4 linked regions of the Drosophila melanogaster genome follow. The protein of the gene in region 2 interacts with the protein of the main gene of each other region in a pairwise test. Each region holds a gene or a part of one and is shown on either strand. Other genes may lie near its edges. The genes, in order: wal, barc, GstD1 and Not10.

Region 1 (5,236 bases), on a different chromosome or scaffold from region 2:
ACGGCAGCGTGCGCCCAAAGATCATGATGTGTGGGATGAATTGTCAGCACTCACCATTATCCGCGTTCCTTTCAAGGAAGTCAGTCACGAAAGCACAGAATCTGCAATGACATAGGAAAGAGATGGATCATTACATGAATTGGTAATATCTTGGATTGAATAACAAATTAGAATTTCTTTTCATTTCATTCCAAAAACAAAGCAAAATTAAAATAATGCATATTGCAAAACCACATTTATGCGAGCATTAAAACGATCCAACTAACGATATTAATAATATTATTAATATTGTAATTATTAGGAACATTGCCTACAATATAGTTCTTATAATAAGAAGATGAAGACTTATCCAAACCATGTTCCAAAATTACAACATTTTCGAACCAGAGCTAATAAATTTTCCTATTAATAGTTGCTTAAATTCATAATTACCTTTGGGCTAGCTTATGCGAGGGTGTCTGTTTTCCGGGGATCATCAGCTTCTGGTGGAGCACATCGTGGTTGGTTATGGCACTTGGGTGGTAGTATCGATTCGTGTTGGTCAAATCGATGATGAGACCCATATCGGGTACGATCTGCAGAAGGGATTCGGGCGCCAGCCGAAGATTCTCCTTCACTTTGGCGTTGACATGCTGCAAAAGATAAAAAAAAAGAAGGGAGCTGAGCAAATATACGAGGGCATTACAATGGGCGGCCATAGATTGCTCAATTTATGCAAAATGCCCGGAGGGCTGGCAATTAATAAAGGCCGTGGATCCGTGGCGTTATTTAATTAAGCAAAAACAATTTAATTTAATATTCATGTGGGGTCCATGTTCCAGTTGCCACTTTTATGCATAATTACAATGCACAAATTTCGTCGTCGTTCGTTGTTATTTATATTTTTAGAGGGCCGCTCAGTCGGTGGTCCAGATCCTGGGTTTTCAACATCCATCAATTGGCGGCTCTCCTGTCAACCGGTTTCTTGGATCTCGGATGGAGTGTGGTACGCCACTGGGCGGGCGGAGGATCATCGGGAACTCACCTGATTCAGCGGCACCTTAAAGGCTATGAAACGAGTGCCAGGAACACGATCTCCAATCGGTTTGTACTTCAGCCATCTGCAATTGGTACAAAAAGTAACATGAAAAAATGACCAGCATAAACAACACGGGTTTCTTTGGGATATTCTCCTAAACTGCACTCACCTGTCTGGTATGTCCTTGACCATTTTGTCTGTTCGCCAAACCTTTTACCGAAATTTAAAAATAAAATTTCGAAGTTCTTCAAAATTGTTGACAATGTTTTGCAAAGAAATAATTCTTATTCCAGTGTTGCCAGATTACTTTAAGAGATTACTCAACATATGCTGCTGAGTTGACACTGTTAGCTAAACTGTGACTGGTCACGATTATTTTTAAAACTCTCGCTCATTCGCTCTTTAACTGAAGTAATAACATTTATAATCTATATTTAATGTTTCTATTTAATAATAAATGTAATTTTTTTAATACTTCATTCTTCATTAAGCTCTTTTACAAATTTATGACTAGTAATATTAATCGGCTTGCATATTTTTTTAAATGGATAATAAAATTAAATTAAATAAGTCCATTAATCAATAATTCCAAGATTATATTTTATATATGTTCATTTTTTCACTTAAGTTCCTGCTGCTTAAAGTTCACATAGATCTGTTGCTCCATCTGTTAAGTAACAGCTGTTGTGTATTGGCTAGGAGGTACCAAAAAACGGCAAACGCTTAAATCAGCGGAAACCTTTGGACTTTCTGTGATTTTACAGCGAAGGTAAGAGTTTTAATTAAATATTAATGGACTTAAATTAATCAAACAACAATTTTCCCTCGCGTGGATAGCTCCAATAACCATCCAACATCCAAAATGTTCGCCAGCAACACGCGTAATCTTATGCGCAGCAGCATTGTGAGTGGAAATTTCTTAAAAAGATAAAAAAAAAGCGCAGGCGGTGATCGCTAAAAATTAAATAACAAAATATCAATTTTCCCACTTGCAGTTGCAGCGATGCAAGAGCACTTTGGTGGTGGCTGAGCACAACAATGAGGTACTCAATCCGATCACCCTGAACACCATCTCTGCGGCCAAGAAGATCGGTGGTGACGTCACAGTTCTGGTGGCAGGCACAAAATGCGGACCCGTAAGTCCCCCAAGAAGTCTCACATTAGGGTGGTTCCATTCGCAGGGATTTCGAATCATCAACGAATCTAATCAAATAGGCTGAACATGCATCCTAAGACCTTTGCGATCTGGTAGAAATCAAACCGGCACAGGATTATATAAACATATCTCATTAGAAAACAAGACTTTTGAGTTGTTGGTAATACTGCATCTAAGAGATAGGAATTGTTAACCTTGATTATATACTTCTGACTATAAGTACACTTTAAAAAGGGTCCAATCTATTTTCCACTTAACTCTTGCTACATTCCAGTTTTCCAATTTTCATACTAGATTAAAACTAACTAAAAATTTAGAAAAAAATGTTTTGATTTTGGATTGGTGAACCCTTACTTAGATACAATATATAGTAACCATATTTCAAAAATGCCGAGCAAAGTGATTTCAATAGATGACCATTTTAAAATACCAAGACATTTAAATTATAAAGCATCGAACCACCCAAGAGCGACTCCCACTGATCATAAGTATTTGGTGCGATAGATAATCTTACATAATCACTCTCTTGTTTTCCAGGCTTCCGAGGCTCTTTCCAAGGTGGATGGCGTGACCAAGGTTCTGGTGGCCGAAAATGCCGCCTTCAACGGATTTACCGCGGAGTCGCTGACCCCATTGGTCCTGGCCGCCCAGTCTCAGTTCAAGTTCACCCACATCCTGGCCGGAGCTTCGGCTTTCGGCAAAAACGTGCTGCCACGCGTGGCGGCCAAGCTGGATGTGTCGCCCATTTCGGAGATCATCGATGTTAAGTCGGACGACACCTTTGTGCGCACTATCTACGCCGGAAATGCTATCCTCACCCTGAAATCCAAGGACGCCGTTAAGGTGATCACCGTAAGGAGCACCAATTTCCCACCGGCAGCCACCAGCGGTGGAAGTGGAGCCGTGGAGCAGGCACCAGCTGGTGACTTCGCCAGCAGCCTGTCCGAATTTGTATCCCAGGAGCTGACCAAGTCCGATCGCCCCGAGCTGGCCGGAGCCAAGGTTATTGTGTCCGGAGGACGGGGCCTGAAGTCCGGAGATAACTTCAAGCTGCTGTATGATCTGGCCGATAAGTTTGGTGCCGCTGTGGGTGCCTCTCGTGCTGCCGTGGATGCTGGATTTGTGCCCAATGATCTGCAGATCGGTCAGACCGGCAAGATTGTGGCTCCCGAGCTGTACATCGCTGTCGGAATCTCAGGCGCCATCCAGCACTTGGCTGGCATGAAGGACTCCAAGACGATTGTGGCCATCAACAAGGATCCCGAAGCGCCCATCTTCCAGGTCGCCGATATTGGCATCGTGGCAGATCTTTTCAAGGCCGTGCCCGAACTAACCGGAAAGTTGTAAGGCGAGATTGTCACTTGCTGTAGTATAAAGATTGTGTACCGATGAATTGATAACTGTTGCATTTATTTGAATTTTGACATAAGTCCGTGGAAGATTTTCCCTTAAATTTTGTAATAAAACAAGCCGAAGACCTATTCTATGTGAAAATTGTAGTCTTATCAGTTGAGTGCAACTGTTTAAATCAGCAAAATATTTAAAAAAGGCCCAGGGCTAGCAATAACCAAAATTCAACTAGGATAAACTGTTTACTGGCATTGCAGATTGCACCTAGTCTAGGATTTGGTTTCCTTATCAGTTTCCCATCGTATATTTATTTTTCAAGAAGCTTTTATGAGAGCTTTATTAATTAAATTAGTTATACTAGAAAGCTGATCAAGCCAAAACAAATTGTAGCTAAAAGCATCAAAAAGCTTTCTCGCCAATTGCGAACTTTTTTAAAAAGTGTGAAAATGTGAAAACTGTGTACAAAAAAAGATTATAGATCAAATCAATAGGATTTTTACGCTTAATAAACAAAATGTTTAGGAATTCGTAAATCGTTGGTATATTTTTGGTACAATCAAGTTAAATATAAATCGCAGAATCATAAAAACTAGAATTAGGCCAAAAACTACGCCTATAACCAAAGTGGTCCACTCTAAAGGATTCAGGCTGTTGGTAGTGGGTAAAACGTGTGTGTTGATGCCACTCTAAAATGGAAAATCATTGAAATGAAACCTCGACAATTATGAAATGATCGGAGAAACTCACCCAACCACCATTCTCGTTAATCCACGGAACCAGCTCATCTTCGATCACCTCGGAAACGCTCTCCATCAACTTGGGCAAGTATTCCGGATGTCCTTGGCGTACACAATCAACGGACAGCCCACCGGCGATGGCGAACAGAGAGATCACCTTGCTCCACGTAATCTCCACCCGGAAGAGCTCGCGACCAACGGCTCCCAAAAGCAAGCTCACAGCATCCGGAGTATGGAACTCACCACCCGGATTCCGGCAAATCTGACGAGCTACTCCGTTGTATATCCGGGGATGCATGCGCTCCAGTTCATCGCCCAGCTTGGGCAAAGGTGTGTAAAATGATTAATATAATAAAATAAAGCGTTATTTTTTGCTTACCACTTGGACCGCTGGAAACACATCGCGCACAATGCCCATGGAGGTGGAGCCCAGTATGCTACGTATGCGCTGCAGTCCCAGCTTTTTGTTGAACAAACCAGATCTTCTGAGGCGTCTCTTGATATAATGACCGCACAGGCAACGACCCTTCGGTTTTTTTATGATTTTTGGAATCAGGCGATATTATATGTTTGTGCAAGGAATTCCTCGTCTACCAGCTCACCTGAGAAATGATATCCTGCGCTGGAATCTGTGCCGCCTTCCAGCCAATCGTGTAGGAGAGTTTCCTGGTGACGGCATCGCTGACATTACTCAACCTACGCCTCGTGGTCTCCTTGGGACCACCACCAACCTCCAGTAGTGATGCGGAATGTAGTGTGGCTGGAAAACTGAACTTTCTTCGATTCTGGGCCTGCAAGAGGCGCTCACTTTGTGTGGTGGCCATCGGAAATCCGTTGCTGAAATTATCGTTATTCGTGGGATACGAGGTGCCGGGCATGTTTCGCGCAACCGATATCGTTCGAGATCCTGAGGGAAATCGCCTATAAGTATGGCAAGAGGTGGCGAGACTTAAGTCATATATCAACTGGCTGAGG
Region 2 (5,644 bases):
TGCAGTGGAAAGGTTTCTCCGGCTCGCGGACAGCTCCCCCTACGCCAACGGCAGCGTTGCCCTCTCCGGGATGCTCGCTATGTCCATTGGCCAGGTAATGCTCACTGTGGATCGTTGTCGGACTATGCGTGGTCAGGTGCGTCAGATGTGAAGTTGGTGGCGGCGGTTGCTGTTGTTCCGCCGCAGCAGCTTGGGCTGCTGCAGCTTGGGCAGCTGCCATAGCCGCTGCTTGGGCGGCACTATGCGCCTCCGCCGAGATCCCGCTTAAGTGCATCTGGAAGGGCAAGGGGAGTTCCGTGGGTGGCGGCGGCACAGAGGGTGGTCCGCTCGACTGCTGTTGCTGCTGCTGATGATGTTGCTGCTGCTGTTGCTGTTGTTGTTGCTGCTGCTGTTGAACCGCCGCCATGTGAGCCGGATGCGTGGCCTGGGTGACCGTCTCATTGTTATTATTGTTTGCTATGGTGGTTTGGGGCTGGGCGGCCACTATGACAATGTCGCAGTTACTGCTCATCGCCGTAGCAGCGGCATGGGCATGGGGCAGGCTTTTGATATGCATCATGGACTGCTCTTGCTGGGATTAGGTAGTCTGGATTCGGGATTCGAAGCTGGATTTGAATCTGGTGGAATAGTGGAGGGAGACTGCGGTACCTCGGTGACTTGAACAGAAAGCTGGCTAACAAACTAAGATCGATGCTTCAAAAATGCCACGACATGCTCATCTTGGGCGCTTCTCTGATGTTGTTGCTGCTAGTGCCTGTGTTTGGAGAAGGGAGATTGGGATTAGTTGAGTCGGCGGCTTGGCTTTTTGGTATGCAAAAATATGTGAGGAATTCCCAAAACATACGAAATACCTAACTGCGAAATTATAAATCTAAATTATTCAATAGCTGACACACTTTGATAGCTGGGCTCCCGGCTCCAGCTCCACTTCCTCCCCTTGAAGCCCCCTTTCCATATGGTTCCTATGGTTCTTTGTGTGCCCTTATTAGTGAAACGCATTGAAGCCCATTTTGTGTCCTAACTAGCATATTACTCCTTCGTCTCCTTTAGGCAAGCCTCTCTACATAAATAAGTATTTGGAACTACACGGCTTACATATCCATACATGTTTGTAAGGAGGTAACTGGCTTACTTTACGGTGTGAAACTATGTTTTAAATCATTCAGGTATAATGATTAACGTATTAAGCGTTCAAAGCAATATTCTTGCGAGAGTAAATATTTTCGGGCTTTATAACATTTATTAAAGAGCCATACTAATATTAAACTCACAAACAAACTGTGATGAGTAATTTTTAAATAAGATCCATAACGGATGACCGAATCCTTAAAAGATTTTTATGACTTCGATGGTATGAAAACTTCGAATATACGTCAAAGAGCATAAATTATTAAACATACGATTGATTATGCATTTTGAAACAAAATAAAACGCGCGCTGCTTGCATGCATGTAACTTTTAATATATTTTTTGAACGCTGGTTTTTACGTTCGCCGGACAAGTTACCTGACCCGCCCCCTGCTCACCCACCAGACAAGATAGACACTGAGGCCAACACAACACGCACACACATGGAGCACTCAGGTATCTCTCTTTTTGTGTTGAATTGACAGCGTGTTACTTTCTCGCCAAATTACATGTGTTTTTCTGGCAACTTAAGAACTTAGTGATAACTTTACCAATTGGATAACAATCTCAACGGAGGCGAGATCGACAGGATTCCGAACTGACCTTTTTTGGGCGGGCTTTTTGGGGGATATTTTCCCCTTTTTTCAAAAGCAGTTTTTCCACTAACACGTTGCCTCTAGATCGCCCCTCGCGCTCCCTTCTTCAGCTAAAAGTCACAACCACTTTCAGTCGCACACACGTATGGACATCACTAGCGCACACACGTACACGTACTGTGTAAAAGCTCTTTTGAGGTTAGGATACTTTTAATTTTGGAGCTCTCCGCTCGAAAATGTCCATTGTTTTTCACACGTCTATAAACGCTATTTTTGCCAAATGATTCCAGACGGAATTGGGTATACTGAGTGACACACTTGAACTCTTTTCGGGCGCCCACACATTGACCTACCTTTCCATTTTGTGGCTGTGCTGTGTGGGGCCTTTCAGGTTTAGATTTCCCCCGTTTTACATCATTTTTCGCACTCGATTCGGTTTTTTGGGGGATATGGGCCTTTCGGAGGGTGTTCGCGTATTGCTCTCGCCTATCAGAATCGGGTCCTCACAGCATTATCTGTGGCTGGTTCTTCATTTATAAAAAGCGTATAAACGTTAGAAAAATAGTACAAATATTTCTTTTCTTTTTTTTACTGTTTCGCGTACAAAATAGACGCGAATGAACTAGTGCCAATTGGGGATGGGCGATAGCTATGGGGGACCTGTTACTGATCACGAGTGTGAAGGAATCACGATGACTGCCCCGAACTCAATGGGAAAGTTGGTATAAGAGATCAAATTTGGGAAAATTCTCAGATTTATTTAGGCCAGCACATCTTTATAATTATTTTTTTTCCCACCATATTAATATAAAATCATTTTCTAATGTGACTTCTCGTGAATATCGAATTGCCATCTCTATGCTAAATGAGCTAGTTCCACTGAAGTCATTCACATAGGAATATGTAAGTTTTCTTTCGTTTTTGAGAGGTTTTCCTCCCGCCACAGTACGGTCACACTGCCCGGTGCAGAACTTTTGTATAGGAATTTCGTTTGCATTATTTTTTATTAAATTGTACTTAAAGACCAAATGCAATTGCTCAGAAAAGTGCAGGTGCAAGTTTTATAAAATCGTGCAGACCCGCGAAGCCTGCGACTGATCACCATGTGCCTGCCCATTGGTTAAACTCAGCTCGCTGTTAACTTTGTTTGTGTTTTTGTTGTGACTTCCAGCCGGCGGACGCAGTTCATCTATTTGGAAGGTAAGCAGAATTTAGGTAAGTATATACTGAAGGACTATACTGAAAGGTACCTTCGATCCTGACCGCTTTTTCGTTACGGCACGAGAGCCTGTCCATCACCTGCTTCACGAATCCCTTAGCATCTTCCTCCTTCTGCTGGGCCACAGCTTGAATATGGGAATTTGCCCTCAGTTGCATGGCCCGAATGTCATCCTGCATCGCCTTCTTACTGCGCTCCACCACTGCATCTAGAGGGTCTTCAAAGGTAGTGCTTGGCTCGAAGATGTTGCCATTACCATTGCCATGTCCTGCAGAATTGTGGTTTGAGTTTACAGAGGCCGTTGTTCGTTCATCCTCCTCGTTGGAACCCAACGTTGTGGTGGTCTTTGGTGCCCCCTCTTTGAAGGACAAGTCATCCTCGCCGCGAGGTGTGGAACATGGCGTGGTCTGTGGATCAGCCTCCCTCGCCGCTTTTATCTGAAACAATGAGGAGATGTTTTCCTTGGCGCCCAGTACTTCAGTAGAGATCTTGCTGGTCACCGAATCCATAGCCCTGCCCATCGAATCTTTTGTTTCCGAGGCTGCTTTGACCGCATTACTGCCCGCCTGCTCCACTGCATGCATTGCACTACTTCCTACTTGTTCCACTGCGTGCATTGCATCGCTGGCCAACCGATGGGCACCTTTACCCGCCGCTCCTACTGCTCCTCCCACGGTATCCACGGCTCCTCGAGCTCCAGTAGCCATTCGCTCGCCTACAGCTTCCATGGCATCACGAGCTCCATTTGCTGCATTTTTTACCGCTGTTTGAATCGAGTTACGAGTGGAGTCCATGACATCTATCGCGTCTTCGCCGACTTTGGACACCGCCTCCTCAGAGCTCGTCACAATTTTGTCAACTTGCTCCTCACCACGCTGCATTTTTTGCTCTCCATCTGATTCCAGATCCTCCACGGAGCTCTCCAGTGGTGTATCTGGCATTTGTTCCTCTACCCTGGACGTCACATCCACTCCGTCGTTTATGAACCGTATTTCGTTGATCACTTTGCTGCTGTCCGTTGAGTCCTTCGTTGTGGTTATTTCCACGGCCAGGTGCTCATCGTCTTCCGTGGGCGGTGTTGGTGTGTTCACGTGAATTTTGGCCGTAGGTACTTCCTCCACTGTGTCCAGACTAGAGACCAGTTCGGGAGAAGTCCTCTCCAGATGGTCATGGTCCATGGCAGACTCGTATGAAAAGTTTCGTATAGGCGTCTTTTTTATTGTCTGCGGTGTGCTAGAATTACTGCTCTCGGGATAAGGCGTGCGTGGGCGTAAAAGTGTTTCCTGGCTGCCAGGCACTTTCGGCTTGGGATCAACTAATTCCATATCGTGTGCGGATTTATTCGACCTTAAAGATTCTGTGGGGGAGTTGGGAGGGGTTGGTGTATGTGTAGGAGGAGTGGGTAGCTTCTGCATCGATTCCGTAGGCTTCACAGGAGATGAGCTTGATTTTATTGAAGATTCAATGGTTTTAGCTGGTGAGCGTTTTGTTTTCACAGGGGAAACGATTGGTTTTAGTGATGATTCTTTTGTATCCGCTGTTATAACGGGGGACTCTATAGTTGCCGATGGCTTCATCTCTTTATATCCATCATTTGTTTTGATTGCTTCACTTGTGGCAGCTGTGTTCGGACTGTGAACTGATTTCTCTTGATCTGCTGCGCTTTCATTTTTGTTTCCGGGTGTAACCCGATCTGCAATTTGATTATCTTCCTCTTTTTCAGAAATATTTGAGTTTGGACCTATTTCATCACTACCCTTTGCTTCCTTGTGTTCTTTAGGTATAATGTCTGCACTTTCGATATTTGCATTCAAGTCTTGGTAACGAGTTAAATCTGACTTCTCTTCTGGTTTCTCACCATTAATTAAATGTTTCACTGCCTCCATGGCCGCCGCTGTTCCGGCTCCTGCTGCAGCTGCCAATTCTCCCACAGTAGTCGACATTGATAGATCCTCAGTTTCCTCCATGCCCTCTTGTTTGATAAGGCTTCTTCCGCTGTGTGTCCTTGTATCCTCTTTGTTTCCATTGGCATCAGTCGGCTGCAACACAAAACTACGGTTCACGTAGCGATTTGGTTCAGCTGATCCATTTACAGATGCAGACGACATCGAGGAACGCGGTATGCCCTGCACCAGGACGTGTTGATCCCCCACTGCGATGTCCAATAGTCGCAGGTTTTTAAACTTGGAAATTTCACGGAAGGTCTTCAAATGATGGCCGCTCTCCGAGAACGTAGTAAAGAACTTGTTGGCCTTGCTGAGAACCGCATAGAACGAGAATCCTTTAAGGAGCTTCCAGATGGGTCCGTTTTCCTCGCAGTCGTAGTCATAGAAACGTTGGAAGACCAGACTCTTGTTCCGCAGCGACTCGAAGCTGCGATAGATGCTGCCCGCATTTGTAACAATGTACACCTCGCTGGTCTTGGAAATGTGCATAAAGATGATGGCCTCGGTGGGCGGCAGATTTTTCTGCAGCTCAGTGAAGCGCGGAAAGACGAACTCATTGAGGTGACCGGTGAGAAAGAGGTTCCCGGTGGCAGTCAAAACTAGCGTGGACTCCGGCCCGCAGGTAAACTGCTGCACCGGTGCATCAAGACGAATCTCTACCGGATGACCATCGTAGTCTGCCTCTAGTTCTCCTAACTGCAGCTGGGCATTGGAGCCACAACCGATCAAACGACCAGTGGCTTTAAAAGAGAAAT
Region 3 (4,612 bases), on a different chromosome or scaffold from region 2:
TATGGTAATCATATTATATTATATGTTTATATATAAATATATCGATATTTTAATTTCTGTTTTTATAGTGCTCCGAGCAAAATAATTAAAACAAAGAGGATTCATTAAATCAAATGCATACGAAGGTTTTTTAAATGTTAAAAATCAAACTTCAATAAGAACAAGAGAAAACAAGTGGAAGAACAGGAAAAATTTTCAACATTTTTTGTTGACATTTCGAAAAATATGTTCAAAAGTATGTTCAAGCCGTCATATGGAAGTAAGAGTACATGTGGACACACCCCAGATCTTCATAAATTTAATAATAATAATTTATTACTTTTTTATATATCAATCTAAACTTGAACATATTCAGTTTTATGGTATAATATGTATTCTAAAGCGGAGATCGGAGAAAGATCAGCGCAGCTGTACACAAAGCGAATCACCGGCAAACGGAATCGAGAAAGTAGATGTATGTAGGCTAAATGTGCTCATATGGGAGGCCGGCAGAAGATCTCGATGATGTGGAGGTAAGAGATTATTGGGGCTCTTCGTCCTATCCATTCTCTTTGGCTTTGCTCTTTAAATAGTTTGCGCTTTTCACTTTATTTTCCTGTGACGCACATTTGGCAATGCCGTCCAACTGGTTTTTTTGATCTGCAGTGGCAAACACAGTGACCTTTCTCTACATTTTACGCTACCTTTTGGGCCGGCTTTTTGGTGAATTAACCCAACCAGTTATTGGCGAACTTATACTTACGATCTCGTGTTTCCCATGATTCAGCTGGATTTCGGCATTATGTTCAAATGAGTAACTCTCGGAACTTGGGGTTCGGAATTTTTGATTTCACAATCGTTTTGTGGATTGTTCTCGACGTTAAGAGCGCAATTTGTTTGACGTGTCGCCCACGAAAATGCTCTTTCCATTTTTTCCTACTTGTTATTGAATTTTTTTGCCCGGTCATGCTGATAGTTGGTATTGCGAATTGTGAAACTGATAAAAGCGAATTTGTTTTGGGGAAATTAAATACCCCCAGCGAAGTGTAGCAGGAATATTCAAGTGTTCGCCTTTGATAGTATCAAATACTTCCAAGAAATGAAAGTCTAGTATTCCTTTTCATGTTATATGGTCACAGCAATTACTTATTAAAACCCAAGGCCGTCATAACAAACACAAACAATAAAAGTCGATCGATATATGGACTAAGCCCATCCATATTGTTACATTGAAAATGTGTACCAGTAATTTCGAATTTGCATGTGCCTTTGACTCATCATTTAATCTACTACTATTTGTCTACCATAGCTTGGGCTTACCCATTAAAATTATTACTATGAGTCAAAGTATATTGAATAATTCGAAAAACGGTTATATTTTTATGGTCTTATTAGTACGGTATGAGCCTTTCGCGATTTGCTTGTGTGTTGGAAATACTCGACAACTGTTGCTATATATGTACATATGTACATACATACATATATGTTTGCCTGATATCAATGTTTGCCGGCCGGCTTGAATTCTTATCTGGTTTCTGTTTGCCTGCTTATTTGTTTGTACTTATTTTTTTTTGCATTTTAAAAGAATTTATGTTTTTTCAGGCGCACAGATGTTCATTAGAAATGCAAAATTGTGTTTCAAGCTAATCGATTGCATGCTTATGTGTTTGCTAATCTTAGCAAGTCGATGTGTAAATACCCTACGATTAATAATACCTGTATGGCAGGATTGTATCTTCTTTGTTATCTGTTTGTTAAAATCAGAAATTATAAAGAAATGTAACAAAATTTGTTCTTAAGCGAGTAAAAGGCTTCGTTCCAATGGAGGATCATTAGAAAGTTGCAGCTTTCTTTTGCGGGGGTATGGTGGAGGTGTATGAGGGAACGGATAGAGTGCAACCTCCTCCAGAGCACGCACACACACACTATCAATCGTCTCCACACACCCATGGCCACACAACAGTGTATTAATCACGCCGCTAACGTCACATTTTTGCCCGCCATTAGTGGGTATGTGTGGGCAAGTCAGAATATAATAGAAGACAAAAAAAAAACCCAGGCACGACAACAACTAGCAGCCCCCTCTCTCTCTCTCTGTACCTCTCTCCCCACCTTGCCACGCCCCGCGGGGCGCTTCAAGCTACAACTCTTGTTTGCCGGCATTGTGGCGACCACAGCCGGCCCCTATAAAAGTGGGCTCGCTCTTCGAATTCCGTTCAGTGCTACTTTTCATTTGATACAGTGTACATCGCGAGTTTCACAACAGAAGAAAAAAATGTAAGTTCCCCACAGCAATTTCTATATATATTGTGTTTTGTGATTGTGTGCCTGTGTTTGGTCAAAAATAAAAGGAAATATTGGCAGCATGGAAAATTACCAACATTTGAACGTATTATAGCCCCGATATGACATCATAGCCAAGTGAACTTCTGTAATGGCGGCCCAATTAAAGTCCGCTTTTGCTGAACTTGTAATTATAGAGCGCGTCTAATTGTGGCATATCTTTCTAGCATCCAGATCTATTCTGTTTGCATGCCATATGGATAATGTGTATAATACAGAAGCAATTTGGGTCTCAAGAAGGGGGAGATTGTTAATTTAAATATGAATGCGACGCTTGTGGATATGCTTGAAAAAGTTTGGTGCTCACATCTAAATTTGAAAAGAAGTTGGAGATTTGTTCACTCCAATCAAATATGGCGGACTCACAATTGTTTTCAGTTTCTTTTCAACTTGATTCTTCTTCCATTTAAAACCCAAATTAGAAATACAAATGAATGCCCTAAGCTTTTAAATAACCGTTGGTTAGAAATTAGCGAAGATAATAATATTTCTTAACAAGTTGGCTACAAATTATTTATTGCGAGCACTGTAACTAAATGATAGTTCTTCGAACTTCTACAGTAAAATGGTTGACTTCTACTACCTGCCCGGCTCCTCCCCCTGCCGCTCCGTGATCATGACCGCCAAGGCCGTGGGCGTCGAGCTGAACAAGAAGCTGCTCAACCTGCAGGCCGGTGAGCACCTGAAGCCGGAGTTCCTGAAGATCAATCCCCAGCACACCATTCCCACGCTGGTGGACAACGGATTCGCGCTGTGGGAGTCCCGCGCCATCCAGGTGTATTTGGTGGAGAAGTACGGCAAGACCGACTCCCTGTACCCTAAGTGCCCCAAGAAGCGCGCCGTGATCAATCAGCGCCTGTACTTCGACATGGGAACGCTGTACCAGAGCTTCGCCAACTACTACTACCCACAGGTGTTCGCCAAGGCGCCCGCCGATCCAGAGGCCTTCAAGAAGATCGAGGCCGCCTTCGAGTTCCTGAACACCTTCCTGGAGGGACAGGACTACGCCGCCGGTGACTCCCTTACCGTAGCCGACATTGCCCTGGTGGCAACCGTGTCCACATTCGAGGTGGCCAAATTCGAGATCAGCAAGTACGCCAATGTGAACAGGTGGTACGAGAACGCCAAGAAGGTGACTCCCGGATGGGAGGAGAACTGGGCCGGATGCCTGGAGTTCAAGAAGTACTTCGAATAAGCCTGATATTCACGTTTTTATACCCGTACATATGATGTAGTATTTATATTCACGTTCACAAACAACAATTCCAAATTCGCCTGTCTCCAAAGACAATAAATAAGTGTTCTTTTTTTTGAATGCACAAAATACAAATGAGTTTGTTTTTAGATGGGTGTACATTTACATATATTACTATGTGTATGTGGATAGTGGATATTGTGGATAGGGACTGCAATTGAATAAGTGGGCTCTCTTGATGCTCGTTATTTTCTCTTTGATGCCAGGGGTGATTCTCTTTCCTCTTTTGCTAAATCTCTCCGAATCGAGAGGCAAACAAAAAAAGATAATAAAAGATAGAATATTTTCGCGATGCTCGTTAGTTTTATGTGGTGAAGGCCTCAAAAAAGAAGCTTGAAAATCTGTAAGGAAAAAGTGAGAAATTATCAGACTTAAATTCATTGGTGAAATAGATTAGAAACTTAGAGTGAATTTCGTTTTGGTTCTGAAATTTTCATCAGAAAGGCAGCTCTTGTAATTTCTTGTTCTTCAAAAAGCTTTTAACGGTAGATAACAAAGTGGAAAATTACCAAGTTAAATTATTCATTTAAAAGGAAGCAAATCTCGACATATTTTATATATTATGGGCACCATTTTTAATAAAAACACAGTTTGTAGATATTTATGTTATTTTTCTGAGAGAATGTTTAACTGTCTCAATAAGCTTTTATCAAAATGGGTGCATTATGTGCATTCCAAGGTGCATTAACGACCATGTTTTCTCAATAATTTTTTTTTGTGTCTTGCGCCACCAATAACTTTAACTTTAGTTTTAAAAACAAAATATGATCTGAAATGTAAACATCTGAGCGGGTAGAGTCGATATATCACGAAATTCTAAGAAAAATATCCAATGCAATTTGATACAATTATACAAACAAACAAACATTCCAATGAAAGCTGTCTCGTTAAGTCTAATCTAGCCATCGTTGAAGGGAACAACAGTATATAAGGACAATTTGACGTAAACTAATTCAGTATGATTTTACAGCTCAGCGAGTAATCATGTTGGACTTCTACTATATGCTCTACTCGGCACCTTGCCGTTCCATCCTG
Region 4 (5,907 bases), on a different chromosome or scaffold from region 2:
TTAGCAGTGTTTTTCACCCACAGAGAGCTGCCATATCGCCGTATGTTATCGATAAATTTGGAAGCATTGATTTGTACCACCCCTACTGTTAACTCACACAGCACAGTTCTGTTAATTATTGGAAAGTTTTTTAATGGAACAAATTTAATTAAATTACAAAAGTTGTTTACCCGCTGCGGCACTTGGACACCCAGAAAGTAAAACAAAGCAGTGCTCGGGGACAGCAATTGAATAGTACCAGAATCCGGGACATCGGAGGCAGCGAGCCGCGACAAAGAAGTGCACAAAGAGAGATAGCCAGTGCAAAACCCGTTTCTTCCAACCGATAAAAGGGGCGTCTATAGCTCTGCCGATCCGGAGCCCCTGGCATTGCACCACTATGATGGTTGAGTCCGATGGAACCGCCGACGCCACCCGCCGCCTAAACGTGAAGAAGCAAACACTGGACGATGCGTACGCCGTGCCCGCCAACTTCCTGGAGATCGACGTGGTCAATCCGCTGACCACCATGGCGGCGGGCAAGAAGCGCTACACGGACTACGAGGTCCGGATGCGGGTGAGTGATCGTAGTACATGTACATGGGGGCACCACCTATGCACCTTCCAAAATTCACCGAAAAAACCATTGATAATCGCTGGAATTCGCTCACACACTTGTGTGCATGTGTTCGTGCGACTTTGTCTCGCTGTGCATGTGTGTGTGCGTGCGTGTGTGTGTGTGTGTGTGTGTGTGAGTGCGGGTGATACGCCTATAAAGCGAGCCGGCCGATAAACATTAGTCACAAGTGCAGAGCACTGATTCCAGTGTCACGGCTTGAGTCACGGAAATGCGGCATGCGGGTGCCTTTATGCGGCACCGACCTTTCATTGAATTACTCTATAAGATTGGCCACCACATATGATTAACCATCGCTCCTTTTTTAGACCAATCTGCCCGTCTTTAAGGTAAAGGAGTCCAGTGTCAGGCGACGCTACAGCGACTTTGAGTGGCTGCGAAACGAGCTGGAGCGGGATAGCAAGGTACGGACAAGTGTGATCCAGGCGGTAGTCTTTCGTTTTCACTTTAATAGATTCAAAATCCGCACTATTCAGAATCTATTTAGATAGAATTACGAAACAATACATTGTAATTATAAGAAGCCACTAGAAAAGTTTCAATCCTTAAGAGGAAACTTAACCCTGAGTTTTATAAGTGAAAACGGAAACTTCGATAAGCGCCTGAAGAGTATTTAATCATGAACATACATATCCCCGCAGATTGTGGTGCCACCACTCCCAGGAAAGGCATGGAAGCGGCAGATGCCCTTCCGCGGCGACGAGGGCATCTTTGACGAAAGCTTCATCGAGGAGCGGCGCAAGGGACTGGAGGCCTTCATCAACAAGATAGCCGGACATCCGCTGGCGCAGAACGAGCGCTGCCTGCATATGTTCCTGCAGGAGAATGTCATAGATAAGAACTACGTGCCCGGCAAGATTCGGAACACATAAGCAGCTTAGTCCGGCGCAATCGAAACCCCCTAACCATAGCAATGCAATGAAGCAAAAACTCGAACGAACAAACCTGCTACGAAATCTTTATGGGAAGCCGTGTGAATGTGTGTGCTTGCCCGGATTGGAGGAGGATGGAGCAGATGAGCGATGATGTAGGTTGGTGGAGAAGGGATCTGTTATGCGACGCGATACGAGGCGGGAAGTGCTGCTGCTCAGTTAATGTTGAGCCCCTCTCAGCCCCCGGGGATTAGTTAAAAACCAGCATTGGGAATTTTTAATGCTAAATTCAAGTTTATATGGTATACATAACAATATACATACACATATATATATATTATACACAATACACATATTTACGAATAGTGTACATAAGACATGCCTACTACGCCCTCGCTAAATGAGTCTCGAAAGTAGGAGCTGCCCCTCCCATTTTCCCGATCCTCAGTTTCTTCGTTTTGAACCATTGCAGCGGTAATGAAGCAGCAAATAAAATAAGGGAGCCATCCTGACCCCAAAATCGATCCCTTGTAAGTGTATGCAAATTATTGAATATTTTGAAACAGTTTAGTGAATAATATTGTACTTCGAATCAAATTAAAATAATTCAAAAATATTGAACTGCTGATATTATTTGAATGTGCTTGAAAATGATGCGCAACTGAAGATTAAGTTGAGTTTTGTATAAAATATTAGCCTTTTTCCTAGCCAATTCTGCGGGATGGAAGTTTGTTCTTCAACTGGTCGATGTTGAATCTATGTAGTTCCCATCATATAAACCAGGCGAGGATTAATAACAATATGATGAAACAGGAAACTTCGATTGAATGCAAGGATAATTACAGTTGGGTGGGTAGGTGGATCAAAAATTGTAAACGATAAATGGATATTTTATTATTCTAAATATTATATATCATCACAAACAAAAGTCTCAGTTGAAATAAAGGTATAGGTTTCGCGCGCTGCAAATCTAGACTAGTGATGTGCTGCCACCTATCGACAGCAAAATGCCAATTTGACCATTGTAAAGTTAAAATTTTATATAGAATATATTTTAATTTGTTCATATTAACAATTTAATTTTTAATTAATAAATTAACAAGAAATTTAACAAGTTGTTTAATGTTAAGAATTAACTTATTTATTAATAAGGTTAACCGCTTTAGTTACGGTTAAAAGTGGCAACGCTGTGCTTGTTGATTCTGGCAACGCTGTGTCATCTGTGGATTGGTTCGGTTTTTTTGTTTTTATTTATTTTTGGCATGGACTCGGCGGAATCCCCCACCAAAACGCAGGCCGGCGAGGACGAGAACTACAGTCTGCTGTGCCAGGCGCACGAGCAGTTCAACAAGTGAGTGTTCATCCGCGTGTCACCGGGAAGTGCACCCATAACCGCCACTCCTTTCCGGCTGCTCCTCATTCTAGCTCGGAGTTTGATCGCTGCTTGGAACTGCTCCAGGAGTTGGAGACGCGCGGCGAGAGCAGTGGTCCTGTCCTGCGGCACAACCGGGCGGTGGTCAGCTACTACAAAACCGGGTGCACCCAACACTCCGTCCTGCTGAAAGAACTGGAGGCTCTAACCGCCGATGCAGATGCGCCCGGAGACGTGTCCAGCGGGCTGAGCCTTAAGCAGGGAGCTGCCGCCGCCACTGTTGCTCGTTACAACCGGGCGGTCATCTATTATCACCGCCATATGTTCGGCACGGCACTGGAGAAACTAGCACCACTAGTGGCTCGTCTGGAAGCCCTGGAGAAGGCAATGGCAGCGCTGGTGGCCACACTACAGCTACAGCTGCTGCTGGCCACCAATCAACTAAACCGAGCCGAGGCCTTTCTGGATTACTTGCAGTACAAGCTTAACCTGGTGGCCACAGCGCCTAGCAGCAATGCGGCCGAAGAGGCAGCTGTTGTCGGCACAGCACCTCCGTCAGCAGCGACGAACAGTTCAGTGGTGGCCTCACCAGGAGGAGCAGCTGTGGAGGGAGCTGTGCCCGGTCTGGGCGGTAGTCTGCAGCTCTTGCAGCTAATAACGCTCGTGCTTAACCGAAAACCGGTGGTTATTCAGGAAGACGGCACGCCGGAGTACGCTGCTCTGAAGGCTCAGCAGTACTACATCATGAAGGATTTTCAGATGGCCGCCAAGCAGCTTATGCGAATCAATAACGAGTGTACACAAGCGGGGTGAGTCTGCTTCATTTTAAGTTCAAAGAAGACATACTATTTTATTGTCTATCTTAATAGCACTATAACCCCCCAGCTGAGCACGTGCATTGCCAACAATATGGGAGTGATACACTTAAGAGTGCGTCACTATGCCATCGCCGCCAAGTTCTTCCAAAATGCGCTCAACTTTGACCAGCAGCTGGCGCGAAATTTGCGCCAGAGTACGCTGCAAACCATGAGTTCGGCACGGTCCTGCGAGATCCTTTACAACCTCGGTGTGGCCATGTTGCACCTACGACGCCCCAAGGAGGCGTTTCAGTGCTTTCTGGTTCCCGTTAAGCAATTCCACAGCAATCCACGTCTTTGGCTGCGCATGGCTGAGGCCTGCATCATGGAGCATGAGGCGGTAAGACAACTTTACACTAACATGTTCTAGTACAATAGAGTCACAATAGGGTATTTATTTGTCTTAAATCTCAAATTATTTTATTTTGTTTTAAAGAAACTAGTGGAGGAGGAGCGCCAGTCGCAGTCAGAAACGCCATCAACAAAGCCATACGCGTAAGTGCTAATTCGTTAGCTTAGTTCATTGCTGGTAGTAAACTTTTCCTAATTTTAGTCCTCAATCGGCGGGAGTTCCAGAGCCCACGCTGGAATTCGCTGTCTTGTGTCTACGTAGCGCGTTAACGCTTACGCAGCACTACAAGACGAGGTTTCACATGGCGGCGGTCTCCTCGGAGGATGTGGAAGCACCCGAACCCAAGGACCCAACTCAGGAGAGTTGGCGTCATCCCCAGGACAATAACTTCTGCAATCCCTCGAAGCCAGTCAGCCTAGAGTCTTTGGAAAACATGATGGCTGCCATATATGCTGCTCACAGCTTCGTCTCGCTGCGCCTAGGCGATCATGTGACCGCGCTCGAGATGTCGGAAAAACTGCTGGCCTGTGAACGCTTGTCCGATGCACACAAGTACAATACAGTTTCTATTTAATCTTCCCATGTTTGGTTTAACATATTTACCTTTTTTTCTTCAGATTGCTAGGTCACATGTACGCTGGCGAGGCGTTGATGCTTATGGACAAGGCCAGCGAGGCACGCGACCATTTGGACCCTACTTTTGTGGGCACACTAAACGCCTTCGATTTTGAGACGCGTGACTGGCAACTGAAGTCGGTGGACGCCGCTCAGAACGTTGTGCGGTATAATCTGGCCGTTGCCATGGCTCTACAGAACGACCTGCCTCAAGCTAAAGCACTCCTGGCCAATTTAACTCATTCGCTGGTTGCCAACAAGGCGCTTGCTTTGCGACGCTTCATGGACCTCAAAATGGGTCCCGTTCCTGGCGGGACGCCGAGTTAGACAACAAATTGTGTATATAACTAGACGGAATTAAAGTGCAAGAATGAAATGACGAGGAAGCGAACTATTTGTTTGACGATCATCAGTTTTTCAGCATTTTACAGGGTGCAAACAAGGTGTATAAAACAATGTCTGTTAACTAATCCATATGTGCTTATATATTTGTACACAGAGAATTGGTGTTGGCAATAGCAAATTATCTCACAATATTTTACGTTGAACTTTTGCATACTCCAGTCATTGAGACTTTTTCATAGGAATTCTACAAATTAGATTACCCTCTACGTTAAAGCGTTGGACACTTAAATTTTAAGTATCTATCTCAGGAATTTTAAAAGTTGGGTCAGAATTATTTTGACTTGTGCAAGTTACTCTTACTCGAAATGCCGTATAAAACGCTTGTCATTCTGAGTGTCTGTACTCAAATAGTCAATGGAATAACTTCTGTAAGTGCTTTTTAGTCGATAATTATAGCTATAGGCAAGTGCTACGCTCTCTTTTCCAAGGCCGAAATCATAGCCTCGCACAACTATCCGGTGGAAATTCACACAGTGGTCACACGAGATGGGTATTTACTCAACGCGTTCCGCATACCGAACTCAATCTATTGCGAGCAATCTGGAACAAAGCCGGCGGTTCTCTTCCAGCACGGAATGACCGCCTCCTCGGATGTTTTCCTAGTGAATGGACCTCGGGATGCATTGCCATTCATGTTGGCCGACGCCTGCTTTGACGTTTGGCTGAGTAACTCGCGGGGCACTCGGTATTCCCGACGCCACGTGTCTTTGGATCCCTCCGATGAGGACTTCTGGCGCTTCAGCTGGCACGAGATTGGAACGGAGGACGTGGCCGCTTTCATTGACTACATTCTGGGCACCACAAATCAAAGTGCGGTG

The links.
Region 1: the proteins of barc (region 2) and wal interact in a two-hybrid assay, tested with the Drosophila melanogaster proteins (one large-scale study listed by BioGRID).
Region 3: the proteins of barc (region 2) and GstD1 interact in a two-hybrid assay, tested with the Drosophila melanogaster proteins (one large-scale study listed by BioGRID).
Region 4: the proteins of barc (region 2) and Not10 interact in a two-hybrid assay, tested with the Drosophila melanogaster proteins (one large-scale study listed by BioGRID).

Annotation. Positions count from the first base shown.
Region 1 is NT_033778.4:11,687,364-11,692,599, reverse strand, and holds wal (walrus), read left to right. Parts: upstream 1-1,736; 5' UTR 1,737-1,787; intron 1,788-1,855; 5' UTR 1,856-1,880; coding exon 1,881-1,922; intron 1,923-2,013; coding exon 2,014-2,154; intron 2,155-2,711; coding exon 2,712-3,521; 3' UTR 3,522-4,031; downstream 4,032-5,236. Other genes in the region: CG13197 (uncharacterized protein), read right to left, coding at 55-101, 433-632, 1,025-1,100, 1,188-1,210; buffy, read right to left, coding at 4,043-4,210, 4,272-4,580, 4,641-4,787, 4,864-5,139.
Region 2 is NT_037436.4:21,430,135-21,435,778, reverse strand, and holds the start of barc (barricade), read left to right. Parts: upstream 1-2,644; 5' UTR 2,645-2,785; coding exon of another isoform or gene 2,786-2,913; 5' UTR 2,914-2,924; exon of another isoform or gene 2,925-2,939; intron 2,940-2,974; coding exon of another isoform or gene 2,975-5,629; intron 5,630-5,644. Other genes in the region: Aef1 (adult enhancer factor 1), read right to left, coding at 1-559; CG33288 (uncharacterized protein), read right to left, coding at 2,786-2,913, 2,975-5,629.
Region 3 is NT_033777.3:12,366,847-12,371,458, reverse strand, and holds GstD1 (glutathione S transferase D1), read left to right. Parts: upstream 1-2,190; 5' UTR 2,191-2,256; intron 2,257-2,865; exon of another isoform or gene 2,866-2,883; 5' UTR 2,884-2,887; coding exon 2,888-3,517; 3' UTR 3,518-3,642; downstream 3,643-4,612. Other genes in the region: GstD9 (glutathione S transferase D9), read left to right, coding at 4,562-4,612. UniProt on the Drosophila melanogaster protein: Conjugation of reduced glutathione to a wide number of exogenous and endogenous hydrophobic electrophiles. Has DDT dehydrochlorinase activity. May be involved in detoxification.
Region 4 is NT_033777.3:12,627,965-12,633,871, forward strand, and holds Not10 (CCR4-NOT transcription complex subunit 10), read left to right. Parts: upstream 1-2,682; 5' UTR 2,683-2,750; coding exon 2,751-2,839; intron 2,840-2,913; coding exon 2,914-3,669; intron 3,670-3,729; coding exon 3,730-4,057; intron 4,058-4,153; coding exon 4,154-4,212; intron 4,213-4,270; coding exon 4,271-4,621; intron 4,622-4,686; coding exon 4,687-5,011; 3' UTR 5,012-5,224; downstream 5,225-5,907. Other genes in the region: Snx3 (sorting nexin 3), read left to right, coding at 380-556, 925-1,020, 1,258-1,488; CG18530 (uncharacterized protein), read left to right, coding at 5,395-5,457, 5,518-5,907. UniProt on the Drosophila melanogaster protein: Component of the CCR4-NOT complex which is one of the major cellular mRNA deadenylases and is linked to various cellular processes including bulk mRNA degradation, miRNA-mediated repression, translational repression during translational initiation and general transcription regulation.